Linked DNA regions of Struthio camelus. The protein of the gene in region 1 interacts with the protein of each later gene in a pairwise test. Links are inferred from orthologs where the notes say so. Each region holds a gene or a part of one and is shown on either strand. Other genes may lie near its edges.

Region 1 (11,916 bases):
GCGGACACATTACATCCTCAGTCTTACAACTTGGTAGAGGGGATTTGACATGTTGGCTGCTGAGCGTTTGGCAACTACGATTCAAGAGAGACTCTCCTATGAAAGAAGAAGGTCTCTCCTCACTCACCCAGTTGACAAGGACGTATTTGGGCAGGCCGGAGTTGGGATCCTTCACCCTACAGAAGGCATACATCACCTTCCCACTGTTGAGCTCCTCCACCATCTCCTCCAAGCCACCATCTGCCCCAGGAGAGAAAGGAGAAGGGGGTGAAGCAAGCAGACGTAGCACTTGCCAACGCAGGAGAGCTTCAGGCAAGCACTGGGAAAGGGGACAAATCACAAGTTACTCGTCTCATGGCATCTCAAGGCAGCCAGTGTGGTGAAAACAGCCAAGCCTGCAAAGGTTGCAGCCTCCTGGCTGCTCGCTTACTAGAGATTATTGCTGTTGTGTGACCAGGCACGGGCACATCTGGATTTGTCCTATGCTAAAAGCACAACCAACCTATGCCAGACACCTCTTACCACGTGTTTTCCCCAGTCCTCCCATTATCTTCTCATTCGTGTGCGATCTGAGCGTCAGCGAGCTCTCACCCACGCCCCCATCCCTCTTTAGAGCAAGAGTTTCTCTTCTTCAAAAAAGACGCTGTCAGGACCTCGACTGCTACAAGCACACCTACGCATACTGAAACATCCCGGGTCCATAACAGCGAGTCAAGTGAAGAGATACAAAAGGAAAGAAGGTAGTCATGTGTTCCAGGCTAATTAGAGACGTTAATGCGCCGATCAAAGCCAGAGTAGACGGCTGTAAACTCTGCCCACAAGTTCTTACATGAAATCACACGGCAAGATCTTACAGTGAGCGCCTCCACCATGAGAAAAAAGCTCAATGGGAGTCCTGCTACTGATCTCAGCAGGATCAGCGACGTCTCAAGAAGCTGCAGAGGAACTAGCTACGCCCGAGAGCTGTCTTGTTCACAGCACACCTTATAAGGCCCACAGAGGCTGAGACGAGCGCTACTTCGTAAAACGGGAAGTTGACACGAAACAGAGACGCTGCACTGCGCTGGGGCAGTGCAAGTTCCCGCTCACCAACGGTATGAGTTAGTACCACTCCTGCCCTCGCGCTTTTCTCACTGCCCTTAAGCCCGCAGGGTCCTTCCAAGCAAAGCCTCATTGCAAGGAGGTCTCCTCCCAGCTACAAGCTTGGGGACAGAAAAAGAAAAACCTACCTCTGCACAGAGATGGAGTTTTGAAAGTCTCGGCGCAGAGGTTGAGCAAGATGGGCGAGTGCAAAGGCCCAGATGGAAAGTGCTACATTGCACCATTAACCACAGCATCACTCCCTCTAAAACCGTATGCCAAAAAAGCTAGCAGAAAAGGAGGAAAAACGCAAAAACATGTGCTCTCATTTCAAAAAAATTCCCACAAAGATTCCTCCTACAACACTGGTCTGTCTGACCCCTAAAAAAAACAGAAAACAAACTCTCGCTTGCCATCAAACACTGGTAGCAATTTCACGGTCGAGACTGTTTAGATCTGCACTGCAGCAGGACCAGAGATCTTTTTCTCCTCCACAATTAAATATTTACGCTTTGTCTCTAAATTTGGCACAGTGGTTTCCAAGCCCGAGCCCGACAGAAAAGCGTACGCCTGAAAGACTCGAGCTGGTCGGCCGATGGAAACCCTTGCTACGGAGGCAGGCTTTCCAAGGGCCCCAGGGCTACCCGCCAGCACGTTTGCCTGTTTGCTATGTCAATGTTTAACGGGGATTGTGGCTGGCACGGAAGGGTGGAGGGACATAAAGGGCAGTGCAGGGAGGAGCACAGCTCTGCAGAGACGTCAGGGCTCCAGGGAGACTGGCACCTACGGGTGGGTGTCCACAGGAGTTACGTACCGCCTGGATCACAAACTGAGCAGGTTTTCCCGCGAAAACCTAAGGTACTTTTGATTGGCGTACAAAACTCTCCAAGACAGGGAGCTAAGCGGTTAACACCTAACTTCCTGCGCGGTTCCTAAATTCAGATCGCCCTCTTCCACACATTTCTCCCTCCACGCTCTTCGACTACAGCAAACCTGCATTTCAATTCCACATCTAATCATCCGCAGCCATGCCTGCGTTCACAGGCCGTCCCGTCCTCGTCCTCGGCAGCCTTCGCGGTACGCCTCCCCGGCCCGGTTTGACAGCATCCTCCGCTGGACGCAAGGCCTAACGCAAAACCCCACGGCACGCCTGGCTTGCTCGACCCTGCGAAGCCGCATCGGTCCCAGAAACGCGTCACCTAGCTGCGGTCAGCCAGCAAAGCGCTCTCAAGGTGCCGAGCGCTTCGTGGGCTGCGAAAAACGCTTGCAAATTCAGAGAGGAAAGCAGCGAGGGAGCAGAGCTGAGGGATGCAAATCGAGAGAGCAAAGAAACCCGCCTGGATGCGTCCGTCGCCTTTTAACAGCTTTAGCTTCGCATTAAGAAGCATTTGTGTGCGAACCAGCAACCAGATGCAAAACGTCCCATAAAGCAGGGAACGAAAGGAAGAAAAGACGCTTTATCAGCAGCAAGTTAAAACTGCCAGCACGAGAGGCCGAGCTTTGAAGCGTCCTACAGCGCTTTTTTACGTCGCGTTACCCCTGCTTGCGGTCTCAAATACGTCAGGATCGAAAAGGGGAAGAAGGTCCAAGGGTTGAACGTAGCAGCCGCTGAAGAGAGGGAAACAACAGCACACGAAGGAGAGGAGAAGGAAGAACCGCGCGCGGCTCTCAACGCGCGCCCAGGGCTCTTCTCCCTTTTCCTACCGTGCGACCGTTCCCGTTTCCCCCCCCCCCCCCGCCCTCAAAAAAAAGGGCGCAAACCACCCCGCAGTCGCCCGCGCGGGCTCTCGCCCTCCGTCCCGCCGCCGAGGTGAGCCGGTACCGAAAACACCCTGCGTTCGGGAGCCGGGGCGAGGGAGGGAGCGCAGCTCCCCGTCGCTGGAGCTGTTCCAGGCGGACGCCGGACGCCACCAGAAGGGCCGAGAGCGGCGACGCCAGCCAGAGCGCGTGAGCTCGGCGAGGCAAGCCCTTCCCAAATCCAACCCGCGCCGCCGGGGCCGCCGGGGCCGCCGGCCTTCCCTCTCCGCCCCCCCCCCCCCCCCCAAAAAAAACCCACGCTCACCTCCCGAGCCAGCCACTCGCAGATCATTGCTGTTGCCTTCGTACGTAAACAGGGCCCTAAGATGAAAAAGCCGGAGGGGAGAGGTTTCGTCAAAGCGGTCGGCCCCTCTCGGAGGTCCTCGGGGCAGCGCCGCCCGCCAAGCCAGCCCGCTTCGGAGCCCCCCCGCCCCCCCGGGCCATACCCCGCGCAGCCCCCCAAGCCACGCGCCTCATCTCCCCTAAGCGCCCCCACCACCGCCCCCCCCGTCCCCCTAGGCCCCCCCCGCATCCCCGATCCCCCCTATATACCCCCTTATACAGCCCGCATCCCTCAAGATACCCCCCGACACCCCCACAACCCCCCCTCTCCCCTGTTCACCCAGCCGCAGACACCCCCTCGCCCCAAGCCTCCTAGAGCCCCCACATGACCCCCAACACCCTCAGACGCCTCAGCCCCCTACACCCCCACATCCCCCCACACCCCCATCTCTGATCCCCCTACACACCCCCCACCCCCCCACATCCCTCATCCCCCTACACCCCCGTATCCCCCCAACCCACATCCCCCCCACACCCCCACATCCCTCATCCCCCTACACCCCCGTATCCCCCCAACCCACATCCCCCCCACACCCCCACATCCCTCATCCCCCCTACACCCCCATATCCCCCCACCCCACATACCCCCCACACCCCCACATCCCTCATCCCCCCTACACCCCCGTATCCCCCCACCCCACATCCCCACATCCCTCATCCCCCCTACACCCCCATATCCCCCCACCCCACATCCCCCCTACACCCCCGTATCCCCCCACCCCACATCCCCCCCACACCCCCACATCCCTCATCCCCCTACACCCCCGTATCCCCCACCCCACATCCCCCCACATCCCCCCATCCCTCATCCCCCTACACCCCCATATCCCCCCACCCCACATCCCCACATCCCCACATCCCTCATCCCCCCTACACCCCCATATCCCCCCACCCCACATACCCCCCACACCCCCACATCCCTCATCCCCCTACACCCCCGTATCCCCCACCCCACATCCCCCCACATCCCCCCATCCCTCATCCCCCTACACCCCCATATCCCCCCACCCCACATCCCCACATCCCCACATCCCTCATCCCCCCTACACCCCCATATCCCCCCACCCCACATACCCCCCACACCCCCACATCCCTCATCCCCCCTACACCCCCGTATCCCCCCACCCCACATCCCCACATCCCTCATCCCCCCTACACCCCCATATCCCCCCACCCCACATCCCCCCTACACCCCCGTATCCCCCCACCCCACATCCCCCCCCACACCCCCACATCCCTCATCCCCCTACACCCCCGTATCCCCCCACCCCACATCCCCCCCCACAACCCCACATCCCTCATCCCCCCTACACCCCCATATCCCTCCACCCCACATCCCCCCCACACCCCTGTAACCTTCATCCCCCACCTACACTCCCCACATCCCCCCTAACACCCCTCCTCCCCCTACACCCCCACATCCCCCCCACATCCCTCCTCCCCCCACACCCTCACATCCCAACACCCCAGAACCCCCCACACCCCCACATCCCCCCACACCCCCACACCCTTCCTCCCCCCACACCCCCACATCCCCCCCACATCCCTCCTCCCCCCACACCCCCACATCCCTCCTCCCCACACCCCCTAACACCCCTCATCCCCCCTACACCCCCCATACCCCACATCCCTCCCCACACCCCCACATCCCTCCTCCCCCCACACCCCCCCATCCCCCCAACACCCCCACACCCCCCAACACCCCAGAACCCCCCTACATCCCCTCACATCCCCCCCACCCCCGATCCCCCCCACCCCAGGCCCCCCCCGCCCCAGAGGCCCCCCGCGGCCCCCCCGGCCCGGCCGGGCCCTCACCAGTCGGTGGGGCTGCCGGCCGCCACCACGCGCCCGTAGGCCTCCTGCAGCGCCGGCCCGTTCTTGCTGAGGTTCAGCGCCATGGCAGCGCCGCCGCTTCCGCCCCCGCCCGCCACCGGCACCGGCACCACCGCCCCCCGCCCCGCCCCCACGGGCCGCCCCGCCCCGCCCCCCGAGCCGCCCCGCCCCCGAGCCGCCCCGCCCCGCCCCCCTCCCCGCCCCCCTCGCCGCCCCGCCCCCTCACCGCCCCGCCCCGCCCCCACGAACCGCCCCGCCCCGCCGCCGCCCCGCCCACCACTCCGACCGTCACGCCCCCCGTCACGCCCCCCGTCACGCCCCCCCTCTCCCGCCTCCCGGCCGCCTCGCACCGCCACTGCCACCGCCGCCCCCTGCCAGCGCGGCCTCGGGGGACACCAGTGGGGCCCTGGGGACACCAGTGGGGCCCTGGGGACACCCTGCCCCAGCACGGCCCTGGGGACACCAGTGGGGCCCTGGGGACACCAGTGGGGCCCTGGGGACACCCTGCCCCAGCACGGCCCTGGGGACACCAGTGGGGCCCTGGGGACACCAGTGGGGCCCTGGGGACACCCTGCCCCAGCACGGCCCTGGGGACACCAGTGGGGCCCTGGGGACACCAGTGGGGCCCTGGGGACACCCTGCCCCAGCACGGCCCTGGGGACACCAGTGGGGCCCTGGGGACACCAGTGGGGCCCTGGGGACACCCTGCCCCAGCACGGCCCTGGGGACACCAGTGGGGCCCTGGGGACACCAGTGGGGCCCTGGGGACACCCTGCCCCAGCACGGCCCTGGGGACACCAGTGGGGCCTTGGGGACACCAGTGGGGCCCTGGGGACACCCTGCCCCAGCACGGCCCTGGGGACACCAGTGGGGCCTTGGGGACACCAGTGGGGCCCTGGGGACACCCTGCCCCAGCACGGCCCTGGGGACACCAGTGGGGCCTTGGGGACACCAGGGCGGCCTTGGGGACACCCTGCCCCAGCACGGCCCTGGGGACACCAGTGGGGCCCTGGGGACACCAGTGGGGCCTTGGGGACACCAGGGCGGCCTTGGGGACACCCTGCCCCAGCACGGCCCTGGGGACACCAGTGGGGCCCTGGGGACACCAGTGGGGCCTTGGGGATACCAGTGGGGCCCTGGGGACACCCTCTGCCCCAGCACGGCCCTGGGGACACCAGTGGGGCCCTGGGGACACCCTGCCACAGCATGGCCCTGGGGACACCAGTGGGGCCTTGGGGACACCCTGCCCCAGCACGGCCCTGGGGACACCAGTGGGGCCTTGGGGACACCAGTGGGGCCCTGGGGACACCAGTGCAGCTTTGGGGACACCAGTGGGGCCTTGGGGGCTCCAGCACAGCCTCGGGGACACCCTGTCCCAGTGCGGTGCAGGGGACCCCCCTCGCACACACCCTCACTCGGACCCCCCCCCCGCCCGGATGGCCCCCGCGTCCCCTGGGGACACCGACACCCCTTGGGGACACCCCAACCCCTCCCTCACCCCAAAGGGCCCCCAAGCCCCAGAGGATCCCTATGGGGGGGGGGGAAGAGTTTGCTCCACCGTCACCAAAAAAACCCTTTTTCCCCCCAAATCCTGCATCCCTTGCACACTGTGGGGGAGGGGGGGGGGCAAAATTGCGGAAGGAAATTGGGGAAGGAAAAGCCAAAAATAAAGTAACCAAAACAGGCAAAAAGTTGCCGTTCCAGCCGCAGCGCTCACGGTTTTAACGCTCTTTTTTCCCTTTCTTCCGGAGCCGCTTTCCCAACCGCAGCGAACGTTTCCCAAATCTTCGGGGAAAAGCCAAAGGAGGAGGGGGGGGGAGGAAAAAATCCAAATGTTTGGAAAAATCCAACGATGATTTTGGGTTTTTTTCCCCCCTCCCCGGGGCCAGCCGGGATGAGCCGAAACCCGCGGGGAAAAGCCCGATTTTTCAATCCCCGCTCTCGGGCCGTCGCTCCGTCGCGCCCTGCTTGGATACAGCCGCCTTCTTCCAGCGCGGGAAGAACGTGCTGCCGATTCCACGGCTGAAAACAACAATAAGCCGGGAAAAAACAAAAAAACTAATTCCCCCCCCCCAGTTTCTTTTCACCCGGCTACACTTTTGCCGCCTGACTCAGGGCGTTTTTCTTTTTTTTTTTTTCAGGATGCCATCCGGGGCTCATTGTTTCCCGGCTCTGATTCCCCCCTTTTTTTTTTTTTTTTCCGCCTTTAACGCCCAAAAAAACCCCTTTCGCCAGCCAAAAATCCCCGCGTCACCGAGCCGTAAATCTCCGCGCCGAGCGGAGCGCCCGCGGCGGGAAGTCGAGCAGCTTTTCCAACCCCCCCCCCCCCCCCCGTCGCCTTGCGCTTTGCCCAAATACTTGATGTTTTTACAGGATTCCAACTTTTTGGCTTTTTTCCCGCGCCTGCGCTCCCGGCGCCCGTCCCGGGGCAGCGCCGGGCTCCTGTTTACACGGCTTTGGGCCCTCTCCGCGCTCGCCGCCAGGTGGCTCTGCTCCCCTGGCGTCCTTTTGGGGGGGGGCCCCCCCCCCAAAAAAAAAGCCCCAAAAAAGCTAATTAAACTCGGCACGGGTCGGGGCCGATTAATTATTTTTATGAATTTTGGTTGCGGGGGGCTTTCGGAGCCCGGCGTGGCCCCACCGTTCCCGGCCCGCCGGCCGCCTCGACGCGGACCCCCAACAACTAACTGGGGGGTTTGTGGGGGGTTTCGGAGGCCGGCCTTGAGCTGCTTTCGAGCTTAAACTGAGCATTTTGGGGTGCAACTTCCCCCCCCCACCGCCGCCGTCGAAGGGAAAGAGCGACCCAAAGAAAAGATGCTGCGGGAAGGGAAGGGAAGGGAAGGGGGGCTTCAGCCCGCTCCGGGGCCGAGGCGACACGCGGGGAAAGCTCGCCGCGGGTGCTAACAGGAAAAGACGTGTTTTTTCCCCCGCTGGCCAAGCTAAAAAAAAAACAAAAAACAAAAAAGAGGAAAAATATTTAAAAAAAAAGAGAAAAACCCGGGATTAACATTCCTAACGCGCGGCAGCCTCCTGCCCCGGCTGGCGGCCACTGCGGTTTCGGAGCCACCGGCAGGTGAGATTTAGTCCGGTGTAATTAAAGGAGGTGAAAAACGAGCAGCCCGGAGCGCTCGCCACCGGCGGGACGCGGCGCGCGGGGGCCTCGCTGCCAAAGCCCCCGGCCTGCCCAAAACGGGGGGCTCGGGGAAGGAGAGCCCCCCCCTCCCCGCCAGCGCGTCCTCCGATTCCCTCCCGCCTCGTTTTTCCCGCGAGCCGGAGGCTGCAGCCTCTGGTGGGAGAAAGTTTCCCCCTACTCCAACCCCGAGCTGAGAACTGAGAAAGTCGTGACATGCACCGAGCGAAAGGCGCGCGGCCGGCGCTTTGGATGCTTGTTGGACGCCCCCTCTTCTGCTACCCGCTAGCGCAGGCAGGGGGGCGCGTGGGCCGCGGCCGCCCGCTGTGCCTCGGTTTCCCCATCTGCAGCACACGCGCGCCGGGCTGCCCGTTTACTTGGCAACCGGGGTAGGGGGGGGCGAAACTTCAAATTTCCCTCGGGGGTAGCGAGACGTTCGCCGGCGTGCGGAGGGCTCGGGCCGGCTCGGATGCCGCCGCCGGAGAAATCACAGCGCTGCTCTGCCTCTGCAAGCAGCTTTGCGGCCTTTTTTCCCCCAAAACCAAGCCGGGAGCAGGACGGTGGGGTGGGTGGGGGGGGGAGCCGAAAGCCGGCGGGAGGTGGCTCGCAGCAGCCGAGCATCCTGCCCTCCCGGAGCGGGGATGTAAATGCCGGCCGGCCGGTGCCAGGCCCTGCATGGCCGCAGGGCTCGGTGCCCCCTCCTCCAGGCTTGCGCTAATGGGCCATTTGCAGATAGTCATTTCGGGTGCTCACCCACCCCCCCCCCAAAAGCGCCCCGAGGCGGCCGCTGCTCCCAGCCCCCAGCCCTGCCTCCTCCTTCCTCGTTCCAGTCACCACCACCCCGCCATGGGGCCAAAGCGACCCCTTGGACCCCCCAAATCCAGCTGCCGAGGCCTGGAGGTGGGGTGGCGACCGGGAGGGGAGGAGTGGGGTGGCCGAGGGTCCCGGGATGGCTGAGGATCCCAGAGTGGATGAGGGTCCTGGTGTGACTGAGGGTCCTTGGGTGGCCGAGGGTCCTGGGGCAGCTGAAGGTCCTGGGGTAACTGAGGGTCCCAATGTAGCTGAGACCCCCAGGATGGCCAAGGGTCTCGGTGTGGCCAAAAGTCCCTGGGTGGCCAAGGGTCCCAGATGGCTGAGGGTCCCAGGATGGCCAAGGACCCTGGTGTGACCAAGGATCCCAGGACAGATGAGAGTCCCGGGGTGACTGAAGGTCCAGGTGTGACTGAGGGTCTCAGGGTGGCTGAGGATCCTGATGCGGCTGAGGGTCCTTGGGTGGCCAAAGGTCCCAAGGTGGCCCAGGGTCCTGGGGTGGCCAAGGGTCCTAGGTGCTGAGGGTCCTGGGGCAGCCAAGGGTCCCAGGGTGCCTGAGGTCCTGGCGTGACTGAGGACCTGGGATGGCCAAGGATCCTGGGATGGCTGAAGGTCCTGGGACGGCCTAGGGTCCCAGGGTGGCCGAGGGTCCCGGGGTGACCAAGGATCCTGGGGCAGCTGCTCTCAGGGCGCCAATTCCCAACACCGCGGTCCCCCGAGCACGGCGTGCAAATCGATGCTTTGCAAAAGTATCTTTGCAAAAAGACGGGTGATGAGGGGAGGCGGAGGGGCGGCATCTCACTTGCCCCAGGGGCATTTCCAAAGTTTTTAATTTATTTTAATTTACGGTAGCTTTTCTTATCCCTCCCCGGTGTTTCGGGTGGCAGTTTGATGTCCCCACGGAGGAGGGCTCGTCGGTTAAACGTGAAATCCCGCTCCGGTTTCATCCTCGCAGAGCCTTTGGGATGCTGCTAAATGGAAGGGGAAAAACTTCGACAACTCGAACATGCTCAGGCAAATCCTGGTCGATGGGATCTCGTTTAGGGGCGCGCGTAAGCCTGGGTAATTGCTTGTGTTTCGTTTGGGGCTGCGCAGCGGCAAAGCAGGGTGTTAGGTGTGTCGAATGCTGCTGCCCCCGGGAAAACCAGCGATAAAGGCGATTCCAGAGCCCCCCTTCGGCCTCCCCCGCTCCCTGGCTCCCAAATTTCTGGCCCGCTTTGAGCTCATAGCAGGGCCAGGAGCGAGGCCCTTGGCCCCAGCCTGAAAACAAAACACCCAAATCAAACAGGGGCAAAAAAAAAAAAAAAAAAAACAGAAAAAAAGACCCGAGTGAAGGCAGCAGCCACGACGGTGTTGGCCCTGTTAAGTGTGTCAGCGCTGCGGTCACCGCCACCTCGTTCCTGCACCTGCGCCCCACTTTGTGGGCTTTCAAGGGGTCGCCACAAGCCGGGGTGCCGGTGGGAGCAGTGAGAGATGTTGGGGAAAATAAAGCTTTCACTATTTTCTTTAAAACAAAAAAAAAAAAGCAACGTAGTAGTCCCGCAGCGAGATCTCTGAGAGAGGCCCCGGGGTGAATTCGCCAGGAAAATCACTGCCTCCCACTCACGCCCAGGAAAATCACTGCCTCCCACTCGTGCCCGGGGAAATCACTGCCTCCCACTCGCGCCTGGCTGGAGGGCTCTCCCCGCTGCACCCACCCCCTCAGCGCAGAGCCGAGGGCGACCTGGGGGCTGGCAGATGTTCGCTCGGCGTTGAGCAACTCGATGGAAAGGTTAATTAAAAGCAGGGCAATAAAACATCTGGAAGAGCGCGAGCTGGGAAGGCCCAGGCAGCACGATACCCTGCAGCTGCCTCTCGCCGTTCCTTGAGAAACTTGGGCAGGGGGGACCGGGGTCACCATTTATTTAGATGTTACAAAAGCCTTTTCATGAAGTATTTCAGGCAAAGCTACTGAAGAACCTTTGTGGCGAGGACCGAGGGGCTGCCGGCCTGCAAGGACGGGGAGGAGTAAGACGAAACGGCCGGCTTATCCCGGCCCAAATGCTGCCCGTCCTGTCCTCTCAGCTAGGGCCGATTTTCCAAATAGGTTTTTTAAGCCGGAGAGGTTTTGGAAGCGAGAAACACGACCCCGGGGCAAAGCGGTGTCGGGCGAAATGGGGAAGTGGCAAGTCCGCAGGGCGATAAAGGTTGGCGGGAGACGTGTTTGGGCTGTGGCATCGGCCGCCCCGGATTTCGCGGAGAGCAGAGCCCGGGATGGGTAACGGGGGGCAGCTGCTAAAGCGAACGTGGCGCTGGGGCTGTGAGAAAAAGGAGGGAACTTGGATTTACGAGGGTTTTCCAAAGGGGTCCGACCTCCAGGCTGGCTCAGAGCACCACGAGGCACTGGGCTTTGGGCCCATGGGTGCCCCTCTCGGTACCCAGGCACCCAGCGTGGGGTGGGATGGGGACCCCTCTCCATGCGTCCCGCTAAGCCACGGCCAGGCAGGATGCGGGCGATGAGATGAGGGTGGGCAGGATCGGGGGATATCCGGGCAGGATGGAGGCACCCAGGTGGGAGAGGACACCCCAGTGGGATGGGATAGCCTGAGTGGGATGGGGACACCTTGGGTGGCATGGGGGACACCCTGGTGGGAGAAGGGCACCTGGGGTGGATGGGGACACCCTGGTGGGATGGGACACCCAGATAAGATGGGAGCACCCAAGATGGGATAGAGACATCCTGGGTGGGGTGGGGGCATGCAGATAGGATGGGGACACCCAGTTAGGATGGGGGAACCCTGTTTGGGCTGGGGGCACCCAGGTGGGATAAGAGCACCCCCACAGGATGGGGGCACCCTGGACAGGCAGGGAGTACCCTGGCTGGTTGGGATCACCCTGGATGGCCAAGGGGCACCAGGGCAGTATGGAAGCACCCAGACAGGGTGAGG
Region 2 (11,275 bases), on another chromosome or scaffold:
GGCCATCGTTCTGCAATTCAGAATAATTAAAAAGCAGTTTAAAAGTTATATTTTGTTTTAAGAAATGAGTATGGAGAAAAACAGCTCGTTTCCTTAAACATGTTTTCCAAACAACTAACATGGTTCAGCAGTCAAGTATGTAGCACAGACGGGTGTTCATAGATTCCAGGAAGTTTGCGAACTATGAAAAAACCTTGGTGCAGAAAGTCCCGATTTATTTTTATATGGCTCATAAGAATGATCGACAGTTGTTGATACAATGGGAGAACGCTTAATAAATGCAATTTAAGTATTTGTATTAGAAACATGGCCCAGATCTTAACACTCAGGCTTATCGGGTGACTGATGAGAAAGAAAATCAGTTTCTTCTCCAAAGTTGTATGTCACACAAGTACGCAAAACTTAATTTTCGGTATAGTAAGGGAAGCAGTATTTAGATTCAAGCAACTGAAATATCCAGCAATACTTACTGCTCGTATTTACACGTTTTACTCTAAACGAAACCATGTAGTATATAACCCTATACTGGATGTCATATGTGATACAGCACTCGGTGCAATTCAAGTTCCTCTCAGACTGCTGCAGGCTGCCATTTAATTTGTATATAAATTATTAATGCCATGCTGCACTAAGCATCTTTGCAACTACCACTCTTCCTGCTATTGTTTTACACGTTACCAAGAAAATTAGTCTCTTAAATAGTAATTTTATCCGTCTGTTATATCCTGAAGAGACTCTTCTTTCTTCAACTGGCAACAGAAGTATTTAGAACTGTATAGCCCTACCATATAATGCAGAAGAAAAAAGTATATGAACTGAATGATCTCCCCATGCAACGGTCATTACCCTCAGGCTTAGGGTTAGGGACATCTGCCGGAAAGAGGCAACCTAATAAAGTTCCTCTGCAAATAAAACCGGTTAAGCAGTTTCCGATAAAGAAACGATGGTTGAGAATCTTGAGAAAAGTCAAAATGACGGAAGTAGAGAGTGTTCATCAGCTGGCTGCTGACATCAAACCACACCGTAGTACTGTTAAGTGATTTCCTCAAAATTACGAATGCAAACGAAATTACTGGATGAAGATTTTTCTTTTAAGAACAAGCACCTCAACATTCAAACATTTGAAATTAATTTACAATTAAGTGATTTCAATCTGTTTCTAGTTACATTCAGGAAAAAAATTGAGTAGAAGTGGAACCTTTTTATTCAGTCAAACGCACTCTAATCTCAGTTACGTTGGTGTAATTCTAGCATTAGTCTCAAAGCTATCAAACAGCTTCAAGCTCAGCATAAGTCTTCAAATCTTGTCCGCTTATTTCACAAGGAACTGACCAAGAGGACTTAAGCATCTGGCCTTTAGAATGAAACTATACTCCCAGTGTTATGTACTTAAGTCAAATACGTATCAGAAAAAGAGAGAGTTCAATGTCTCAGAGCAGTTATCCAAAATAACTAGCAAGCTAAAATTTCTACCAAGCCAATGAAAAACACTGGGCAACAGGAGTATCCCTGATAATCCAACCAAATCTCCCTAGGTAAATATTGAAAACAAATATTTGATTAAGTCATGGTGGCCTTCTACGTGGCAATACAGTAGTTAGACTAGTTGCTCAAAAGCTTGTGGATAGGGCACTTTCCTCTTCTCCCAGAAGAGCCAGAACGTTGCAGGGGGGAGGGTATCATGGAAGCAGAGGAACAAGCAAGGAATCCAGTTCTACAGTATGATGACTATGATTTAACTTAGGAGGAAGAATGGTAGAGTATCAGGTTCCTATTCCTCTATTCACGATCATTTCCTTTTTTTGACTTCCTACTATAAAACAGTTATGATAACAGACACCAAACCTCAGAAATTCCCCATCCTAGCCAACTGAATGAAAGGACACGTGGCTGAACTCGGTCAAGTTTGTATGAGATAAGCTTAAGGGACCACCTAATATACCAGGCTTTTCAATGGGTTTACAGGCTGCTGTGCCTATTCGCTGGACCTCACCAGGGCTTAGACCACCCCCAATATCTGCAGGCTCCTCAAGCACTTTCAGGTGAAAACTAAAGACACATAGGGAAGACTTTAGTATTCTGGGTCAAAGTGTTTGAATTAGGCTTCTAAAATCCAGCTAAGTATTTTTAGTCTGGTCATAAACAGATTTTCACTTTTCTTGACAGTGCAAAACAATCTTCAAAGAACACTAGATGCTATTTTGCATCATGTTACAGGGACACAGCTATCAAAACAACCTAACTATAGGATGTTTATTGCAGGGGTGGAGAAAGGAAAAAAAAAAAAAAAAAAGATGCTCTTATAGATTTTTCTGGACTTAGCATCCATGATATGGTTGCATTTAGCTCCATGAAGTGGTTCCTTCCACTCCTGATATTCTTTTTCTTATTTTTGAAATCCATTGCACGAAGAACAGACCAATACTCAGGTACCCTCAATAGCAAGTGACTAAAGTCACTGTAGAGCCTATTAGCTCTATGATCATTAAGAGCAGAAAGATATTTCCAAGATGTGGTTTTTATGTAGTTACCGTCTTGCACTACATTGACTTAATTGCACTTCCATTGTGTTAACAATGAAGTTAATAGAAAGGGTCCACCAAGTGCCATCAAGGACAAGCCACGCTCACTTGCTGATGCCTGTCCTGTTAGAAACTACAATGCAACAACACTTGTGCTTTGTGTTGTGCTAGTTTCTAGTAATAGCCACACACATGCTCCTTCCCACTCCTGTCACCAAGGAAATAGATACATATTTTTAGACTAAGTCTTCATCACGTCCCAAAACCCATTACAAGTGGCTATTAAACCAACCTCCTTCCTCACTGAAATGGCACTGAACTAGACCTCTGAGCCACAAGAGAATTACAGCAGACAGTGATCTTATGATCCCTGTGACCATTTGAGGGAGATCATAGGCTTTTGAGTATAGTAGGAGAAACACTGGAACAGCACTTTATAGGAACTGCTTCAACCGTTTTTTGAAAGACGGAACAGTGCAGTTACACTGCTCTCCAGCAAGATACAGCACTTAATGCAAGTACTGTTGTACCTGCTTCATACATGCAAGTGTATGTTTGCCGGCTGCAAACGTATGTATGTTGGTTTTCAGTCCGCCAGACTGAAAACCAAAACAGTTTGCAGTGCACAGTTAATGCATCAAGTCAGTCCAACCCTGTCTATCATTTGAATATACCTTTCTTAGACATTATCAAAATAAAGTGCCCTTCATTTTAGCACAAAGAAGGGCATCTGTATCATGAAACTCACAACGGCATGAAGAAAGGTGAACTTATGCACTTCATGGTGTACCCTTGATAAGGCCGTGCTGCTTTGTAAGTTTCTTCTGAATCATAATGACACTGTTATCAAACACAACCGCAAACACCGTACAGGCTGCTGTTACTGTATAATGTGCAAACGTACACATCTATGAAGTAATTTTCAACCTATCCCCTCAGTCAATGCATAGAAAATAGCTAGATTTGAGTATGAGGTATAATTTCACAGGCTAAAAAACCCTAAAAAAGTAAAACAAGCAAACAAACAAAGTAAAAATAAAGTTCTACCACATTAAATCTGGAATACATTACGGAAGAACACTCACCCCTCTTGGCCTTAAGAGCTATCAGCATTCAGCCAAATTAAAGCAAATACAGGCTGATTCAACTAAGGATTGCATCCTGAAAGAGCCATGAGTCCTCAGTTCTTCCTGAACTCAAGTGTAACATACAGCAGATGTGATGAGCTCCACATCTTGCAGCATACAGGCGTAAAAACACATTACTCTCATCTCTGAAACTACCGCTGCCAAAAGCTGCGTTAAAAGTCCTCACTTGTCATAATAATATTTACAGTCTATCCTGGAGCCTGGTCATGCTGAAAAATAAACAAAAAAAACTAGACTCCAAAACTGCATTACAAAAATTGAATCTGATCCAAATTCATCGCAAGCTATTTTAATGTAAATTAAATCTAAGGACTTTCTAAACTCTATAAAAGCCTCTAGATTCTATTTGGAAAGTAAAACCTAGCACAGCAAGATGTTTGCTTCTGAATGCACATAGAATTTATGAAAACGAATGCATTCCACATACCTTGCAGAGGGAGATTTAAGTTTCAGTCTCTGCAAATGATTTAGCCAAAACTGAAGTAGCATTACGTGTATAGTAGAACTATAAAAGTTTCCCCAGTGTGCTCTCATTAAGACTGAACAAAAAGTAGTTCTCAGTTCAACAGTTTACACATTTACCATCTGTTCTCAAAACTCTTTTCTAGTCCTGAAATGTCTGCAGGATTATTCTTCATTTATTAAATATTTTTCAGTATTTCTGAAATGCTGATCCGTATTTCTCCCACTTTTGGGGGTTACACGTTCCATTTCCTAATACTTCTAACAGCTCCTTTCACAATGGTCTCTCAGAAGGATTAATAGCATAGCACAAACACTGGGAAGTCAAATAGATCTTACAGGACAAAGGGGACAGAGAACTAAGCCTGACTGAGGCACACACTTCAGCTTGCTTCAGCTTGCTTTTCTTTTCAGGCAAGCAGTTCCAACTCTTCTCATCTCTTCCCCCTCTAATAATTAATGTAGAAAATTCAAGGGTAAAGAATATTTTTCCCAAATACAATATTCTACTCTTAGCTTTAGTCTGCTCTCCACCTAAAAGAGGAAAGAACACAGAAATACAAGCCACAGATAGACATGCACTAACCTGGTGACCATGCTTGATCGACACATAGTTTTCCTGCTGACAGTTTCACCAAACGATCGCTTCCTTTGCAATAACAAAGCCATTAATAACTTATGACCCCTCTCGGACATGAGAGGGGCATCTCTGCGCTGCTCCCAATTCTGTGTATAATAAGGCTCAATGTGTGACTGCGACGGCTGCTGTACACTCAACACAAAAGGAAAAGAAACCCTGCCCCAACTGCTCGTGCATCTGCACTGCAGTGTGGCCAAAGGGGACGCCTAGGCAATGACTTGTTTCCTTTGTTACTTCCTGTTTCCCCCAGTGCTAGTGGGCAGCACTGTCTTTGTCAGATTTCCCAATCTCCCAGAGAGGTTGTAAATCAAGCCATGTATATCTCAACTTCTGTCAGACAGTGAGCCAAACTGCAGAGGGGATTTTCCAGTGCTCAAGTTGCTTCCTATTCATCTTTCAATCAACCACTTTCCCACGGGAGAGGGGAGGGGGGGGAAAAAAAGTAGTCACTTTTCTTACAGTGCACTCAGGCTCTCAGACCAGCAGAGGCACAGTTCAGAAAAATTGCCTGGTGCTTCTGAAGAGCGCCAAGCGCTTCAGCACCTGCCCTACAACACAGAAATATGGTGAGTATTTCATCTCTTTTTCACTATCACTAGAGCTTTTCTTTCTCTCCAACTCAAAATATTAAGAATGGCCACTTTGAAAGATTATGCAGGATATACACAGTTTGTAGTAAGTACCGTCAGTACGTTTGACACTATTCAAACCACCAAACACAATAAAAATCTAACCCAAGGAGACCATGAGTTAAAGGGAACAATTCTACAGGCAAGTGCCACCAACTGATGATAAACAAATGCCATTGTTTTACATTTATAATAGTATTCATCCAGAGTTCTTAAAATAAAAAGATCTGAATACTTCACTGGCTGTCTGGAATTAACCAACACACGGCTAAGAAGTTCAGATAAGGGAAAAAAGCTAGCCTATGTCAGAATGATGGACAAAACCTATATAGATTGATACACTGAATAAAGCTTACTTCATGTATTTTGGGAAAAATGGCATGAATCCCTATTCCAAAATGGGAAGGAAGAAGTCTCTGTACAAATTCTTTTGTTTCTGTAAAGTACCCAGCAGTCAAAGGAGAGAAGAAGACAACATTTCACATACTAGCCATATATATAGGGTAGAAAAGCAATTCTCTATCTTCTTCACCTTGGGATACCCATTGGCACTCCTTCCATAACCAGGGAATATTGGAAGGGCAAGGAGACTAAGCATCACCTGTTGCTAGCCAGAAACAATAGCATATCAAGACAAAATCCTGAAAAATATTTAGAAGATATTAAATAAACAAATAAATAAATAAATATCCAGTTGTCTCAGTGGTTAATTAACAGATTTCTTAAACAGAAAAGCTGTAGAGCTGTAGTTTGTGCATTAAATTCAGTTGTTTAACTACTACAATATAAGTCACCCATTTAAACTTTAAGCGTTCACGTACAATGGTTTAAAGCAATCTTTCTTCCCCTAGCTCTCTGCTATACTCTAAGAGTTCTCTGCTATCTAAGCATGCTCTTCAAAGCTTGCATTACCATCTTTGCCACCTTTATCTCCACCTCAGTGAAAAACTATGATTAAAATGACAGTATTTGAGTTCATTTTCTCCCGAATTGCATACACTGCTCCTCTTTCCATTTTCAGATCTAACATACCTATGCCTTAGTTTTCCCCTTCAAACTGCGCAACTTTAATTTGATGCTGTTTGGACTCCATAGTCTCACTTTATCCAACACACATTCCCGAAGTACTGCTTTTCGACTCTGATCTTTCTGCTGCTCTCCTCTCCCTTTCCTCTCTTAGGCACTCAGAGCCACACTGTTCATTTCAAGTTCCCAGATCCCCTTTTGATTTTTCTGGTGATTTCCAACCCTGTCAAGACGATCATAGAGGAAGAACGTAGAGTCAGAATAACAGACATTTTACACAATACAAGCTGGTGTTCCAGTGAGGAACAAAAAAGTTTATAGGGTCCACAGTTTTGAAAGAATATTGAACAAAAAAAGAAAAAAAACACACAGGCTTAACTTTCTAGACTGGTCATTAATCAGAACAGTTGTGTTTCAACCACAGATAAAGAGGTTGAATAGACATGAAATCTTTATGTCCTTGATTAACTTGTCTGTTACAGAAGTGAAAGAGAAATATATCCTCCTTCATAATGTGAAATTTATTTTTGCAAAACAGCCAGGCATGTCGCTTTCACACCATTAATATGCATTTGTCCCTGCAAAATCTATAGGCAGAAGGCCTTCCACCAACCTAGCCCAGGGAAGATTTCACCCAAAAGGAGGAACTTCATTTCTTTAACACTATGACATTTTTAATTCAGATAGCCTTAATGGGCAGAGTCAAAACATCAAAAAAAAAAAAAAAATCAACTGACATTTGAATTTCACTGCAGCAGGACCACTGCCTGAGGAAGACTGTCAATCGTATCTGCCATCATTACAAACTCCTCTTGCTCCCCAAAAACAATGCAACTTACTTCAAGCTTCTGTAAAGCTAGAGCAGTAAAACACATGCAACACTACGCTGTCCTTACCAGTACAAATTCACTAGTGTAGTTGCAGGGCTGAGCTGTCTCTGCAGCACTGAGAGCTTCCTCTTACTGACCAATTTACAGGAAACTGCAAGAATGGACTGCGAGTAAAAGCAGACTGAAAGTCCCAGCAGCAAAAAAAAAAAAAAAAAAAAAAAAAAGAAGAAAGAAAAGAAAGTAACAAAATCCACTTTTCTGCAGCCACAGCAAGTTGTCAGCTTAGCAGTCAGGTTCCACCAAGAGTAACACTAGAGATCATACATACTACACCAGTCTTTTACAGAAATATATAAAACAAGGCAAAAATTTGTTACAATTCTACTGGCTTTGATGAACTGTCGTGGTGCCCAGCGACAGGACAAGAGGCAACGGGCATAAACTGAAACACAGGAAGTTCATTCTGAACCTGAGGAAAAACTTCTTGACTGTGAGGGTGACTGAGCATTGGACCAGGTTGCCCAGAGAGGTAGTGGAGTCTCCTTCCCTGGAGATATTCAAAACCCCTCTGGACGCGATCCTGGGAAACACGCTCTAGAGGACCCTGCTTGAGATGATCTCCAGAGGTCCCTTCCAACCTAAACCTTTCTGTGATTCTGTGAATCAGAAATAGATTGAGTCTTATTGTTTTACTAATTCTACCAAACTTGTTTCATACCAAGCTTCTAGATCAGTGGAAGACACATCCAGTATATCGAGAAACGATATATTTGCAAACAGTACGCTCTGCAACTGCGGAACCTAAAAGAAAAAGTGGAAGTTACTCACATGAATCCTTCATGTGTTAGGTAAGGCAGTCCTGTGAAAACAGGAATAACCACACATCAGAAACGCTTCTGATGGCTGACCTGCAGAATAACAGTAAAAAAAAAAAATTAATAATGAAGGAATGGAATGAGGCCAAAACTACCAGAAATCCTCTCTCTGTGCCAAATGAGCTCAAATTCTGTAAACTTCAGCTGCCATTCCCTCACTCTGCTTACTAAGGAAGAGCTTGAAAAAAAAAAAAAAACCCCACCCCAAAAACCTAGTAGCTGAAGCTTTGGTAACACATATCCAATTCAAAACCCAGAAACGTTTTAGGTCGAAAACTTCAGTCTCTATTTATACCCTGCTGCTGCGAAGCTACGAACACGTATAGGCATATTGTTGACTTGGGTCTTCAGAAGAGGCAGGCAGCACTAGTCGGCCAAAAAGATACCATACTTAAGAAAAAGAGCTCAAGTATTTTAAAACAAAGCTGTAATTTTCTTTTGGTTGTTTCACCAAACAGCTTGACACAGGTCCTAGAAGACAATGTATTGACACTGATTTGGGGATATACTTCGTGTCGTACATTGCTCAGCTGCCTCTAGACCAAAGTACTGCCACAAAGTACTTTACTGTGCAGGCATAGCCTGTATAAAAGGGATTAGACTCCGCAACCGGAAGAGAGGAACCGTCTGCAAACTCTCAATACAACATTACTGTTCAACAGATTCTCTTGTAACAGCCAGCCCTGAAAAATAACCTAAGATGTCATACTGACATAAATAAGGACTGAATTAAAATCAGTAAAGTTATCCCGGCATAATCTTCTTGCTGGCAATTTTATTATAAGTAGCTTTTTCTAGTTAATTTAAGGGTTTTATACTGAATCAAAAAGCCCCTCAAACCTACAGAAGAGCAAGCACAGCCAACCCCACTCAGACTGTGCCAACAGAACAGGTGAAGTTGCGTCACGCAGACAAGCCCTCCAAACAGTGCAATTTTTCCATTCCAATTCTCAAAATAAGCAAGTTTGAGACACATTAAGCCAGGACTTTAGAGCAAGAAGAATTATACAATGCATCTATTCCAGATGAATCTACCTCACACTTGCTGGCAAGGGGAGTAGTAGTACGTTTTTTGTGTCCTCTATTACAAGACTCAGGAGTTCACAGCACCACAAAAAACAAACTTTGGTGCATACAATTCCACCCAGAGTACCTCACTACTTAAAGAAGGCTTAATTTAATTACAAGATTTCAAATCTGTTGAAAACAAGTTTTTAAAATACTTAAAATGAAAGGCAAGTTCTTGAACGTTTTTGCAGCATGCTTATCATATTTCTTAAAATAAACTTGAAGACACATTATCAAGATAAGACTTCCACTCTCATATAGCATTCAAACCAGATGGACAGGTTCTTTGTTCCTTGTAACAATTTCCTGTACGTAAGGGTCTTGTCAAGCAGACTGCAAGGTAAGTGCTTCCATGATTATGGTTATGACATCTCTCACAAGTGTTTGTAGCACAATTTAAACAAGAACAGAGTTACAAATCATGTAATTGAACAGAACTGCCAGTGTGATTGCCAAAGTCCTACTCCTGCACACAGTTGTACTGCAGACAGCTGCAAACGGAGTTTCCACAAATATACATAGACAGTGAAAGCAGGAGTTTCCACAAATAGTTATTTCCTTGCCAGAAGTTTTCTTCTCAAAGATAACGCAGTTGAAACAACTTCATTGCTAGGCTAGTTTGTGATGAACTGCATACAATTCCATCACCAGTGTACTCTGTCATCAATGATTTAGGAACCAGTCTTGGACTGCAAAACAAGTTCTGCTTACCTGTCCAAACATCTTTCAGTATTTAAGCTAGCAGACCATCTAGCTTTAGTTAGTGGAACACCAAAATAGAGACCTTTTTAAGTTTATTGGTTTACAAGGGAGAGCCAAATATGCAGGGCTGATTTTAAAGTGTATCTGACCCACGCATTTACACAAAGGGGTCTCTCTATAGAGAGTTAAGTCTGATGCAGGGAAATATTTTTGTCTTCTTTTTTTAGAATGTTATTTAAATCAATCTAAAGAACATCGAAAGTCTGGGGTGGGGGAAGGGGCTGGGACCCACACTTACGTTCATCATTTTCTACCGTTGTATGTATACAGTGCTTTTGTAAGCTTTAAACAAAGCTTAGGTCCAGGACTAACGTTGTCAGTTAAAGAGAATATTTCATATGAGTACATGTAAGTCAACAGAAAAATAAATGAATGCAAGCAATTTTGAAGGATCCCTGGAATAGCCTATTAAAAAAAAAAAAACCATACACCCCCACACAAAACACAACCCTCACACACCCCCAAGTTAAGCTAATCAAGAAACAGTCTTTTTGAATATCCATCACAAAAAAAGTGAAATGAGTAGATTTATGAACTCTTGTTGGGCCCAATAAGAAGTTACTAATTGACTGCTAAGTGGATTCAACAAGCCTCCCTTTACAGGAAGCGCTTGATCACGTCATACACCAACCCTTCACACATGTGAGTCCCTCTTCTGGTGGTGTGCAGTAAGATTATTTTTAATTTACCTCTGCAGGCCAATGGCTCTGCAACCAGCACCAAGGAGGAAGCCCAACTTCTGTCAGACCCTGGAAAAACAAAATGAGACAAAACATTTTCTATTTTTATTTTGCTTGTAAAGACACCATGTGATACTATTTAAAGACAAAAGCATAACTGCAAAGACACTTCCTTTCCATTTTACTGCCGTACAACATAGTAGAGGGTGCTAGTTTTTAACTAACGACACAGTGAAGCATCTCAGAGATTGTTATTTTCACACTTGGAAACTCTGACTAGGAACTAAAATTTAAAATTAAGCTAATAAGCATAAAAGTGTAACTTTACAGAATTAGAAACCTCAACCAACCTATGCTGCTAATGGACAGTCCCCACCTCCAAGAGCTTTGAAGCCTAGACGGAGAAAAGGGCAGGAAGAAAATATTTACCAAAAACTAATTAAAGTGTGAGGATGAGTACTGTGCCCAAAGGCTCACATAACCAAGAAGCTGTACCAGAAACAAAGTTTCTTTATGCTGATTCCAATTATTGTTCTCTTTTAAATCATGATATGAACTTCTCTAAAGTATGTCATAAGCCTCAAAAATTTTACCACTCCTATCTCCCACCACCCAAACAGCTAAATCAAAGGA

What was found.
Region 2: the proteins of DBNL (region 1) and SH3BP2 interact in binary tests that used the Homo sapiens proteins (3 or more experiments, as listed by UniProt). The link is inferred for Struthio camelus from reciprocal best matches to the Homo sapiens genes DBNL and SH3BP2.

The regions. Positions count from the first base shown.
Region 1 is NC_090968.1:1,670,740-1,682,655, forward strand, and holds the start of DBNL (drebrin-like protein), read right to left. Parts: upstream 5,204-11,916; 5' UTR 5,118-5,203; coding exon 5,035-5,117; intron 3,199-5,034; coding exon 3,143-3,198; intron 241-3,142; coding exon 128-240; intron 1-127. UniProt on the Homo sapiens protein: Adapter protein that binds F-actin and DNM1, and thereby plays a role in receptor-mediated endocytosis.
Region 2 is NC_090945.1:76,986,290-76,997,564, forward strand, and holds the start of SH3BP2 (SH3 domain-binding protein 2), read right to left. Parts: upstream 5,591-11,275; 5' UTR 4,829-5,590; coding exon 4,719-4,828; intron 11-4,718; coding exon 1-10. UniProt on the Homo sapiens protein: Binds differentially to the SH3 domains of certain proteins of signal transduction pathways. Binds to phosphatidylinositols; linking the hemopoietic tyrosine kinase fes to the cytoplasmic membrane in a phosphorylation dependent mechanism.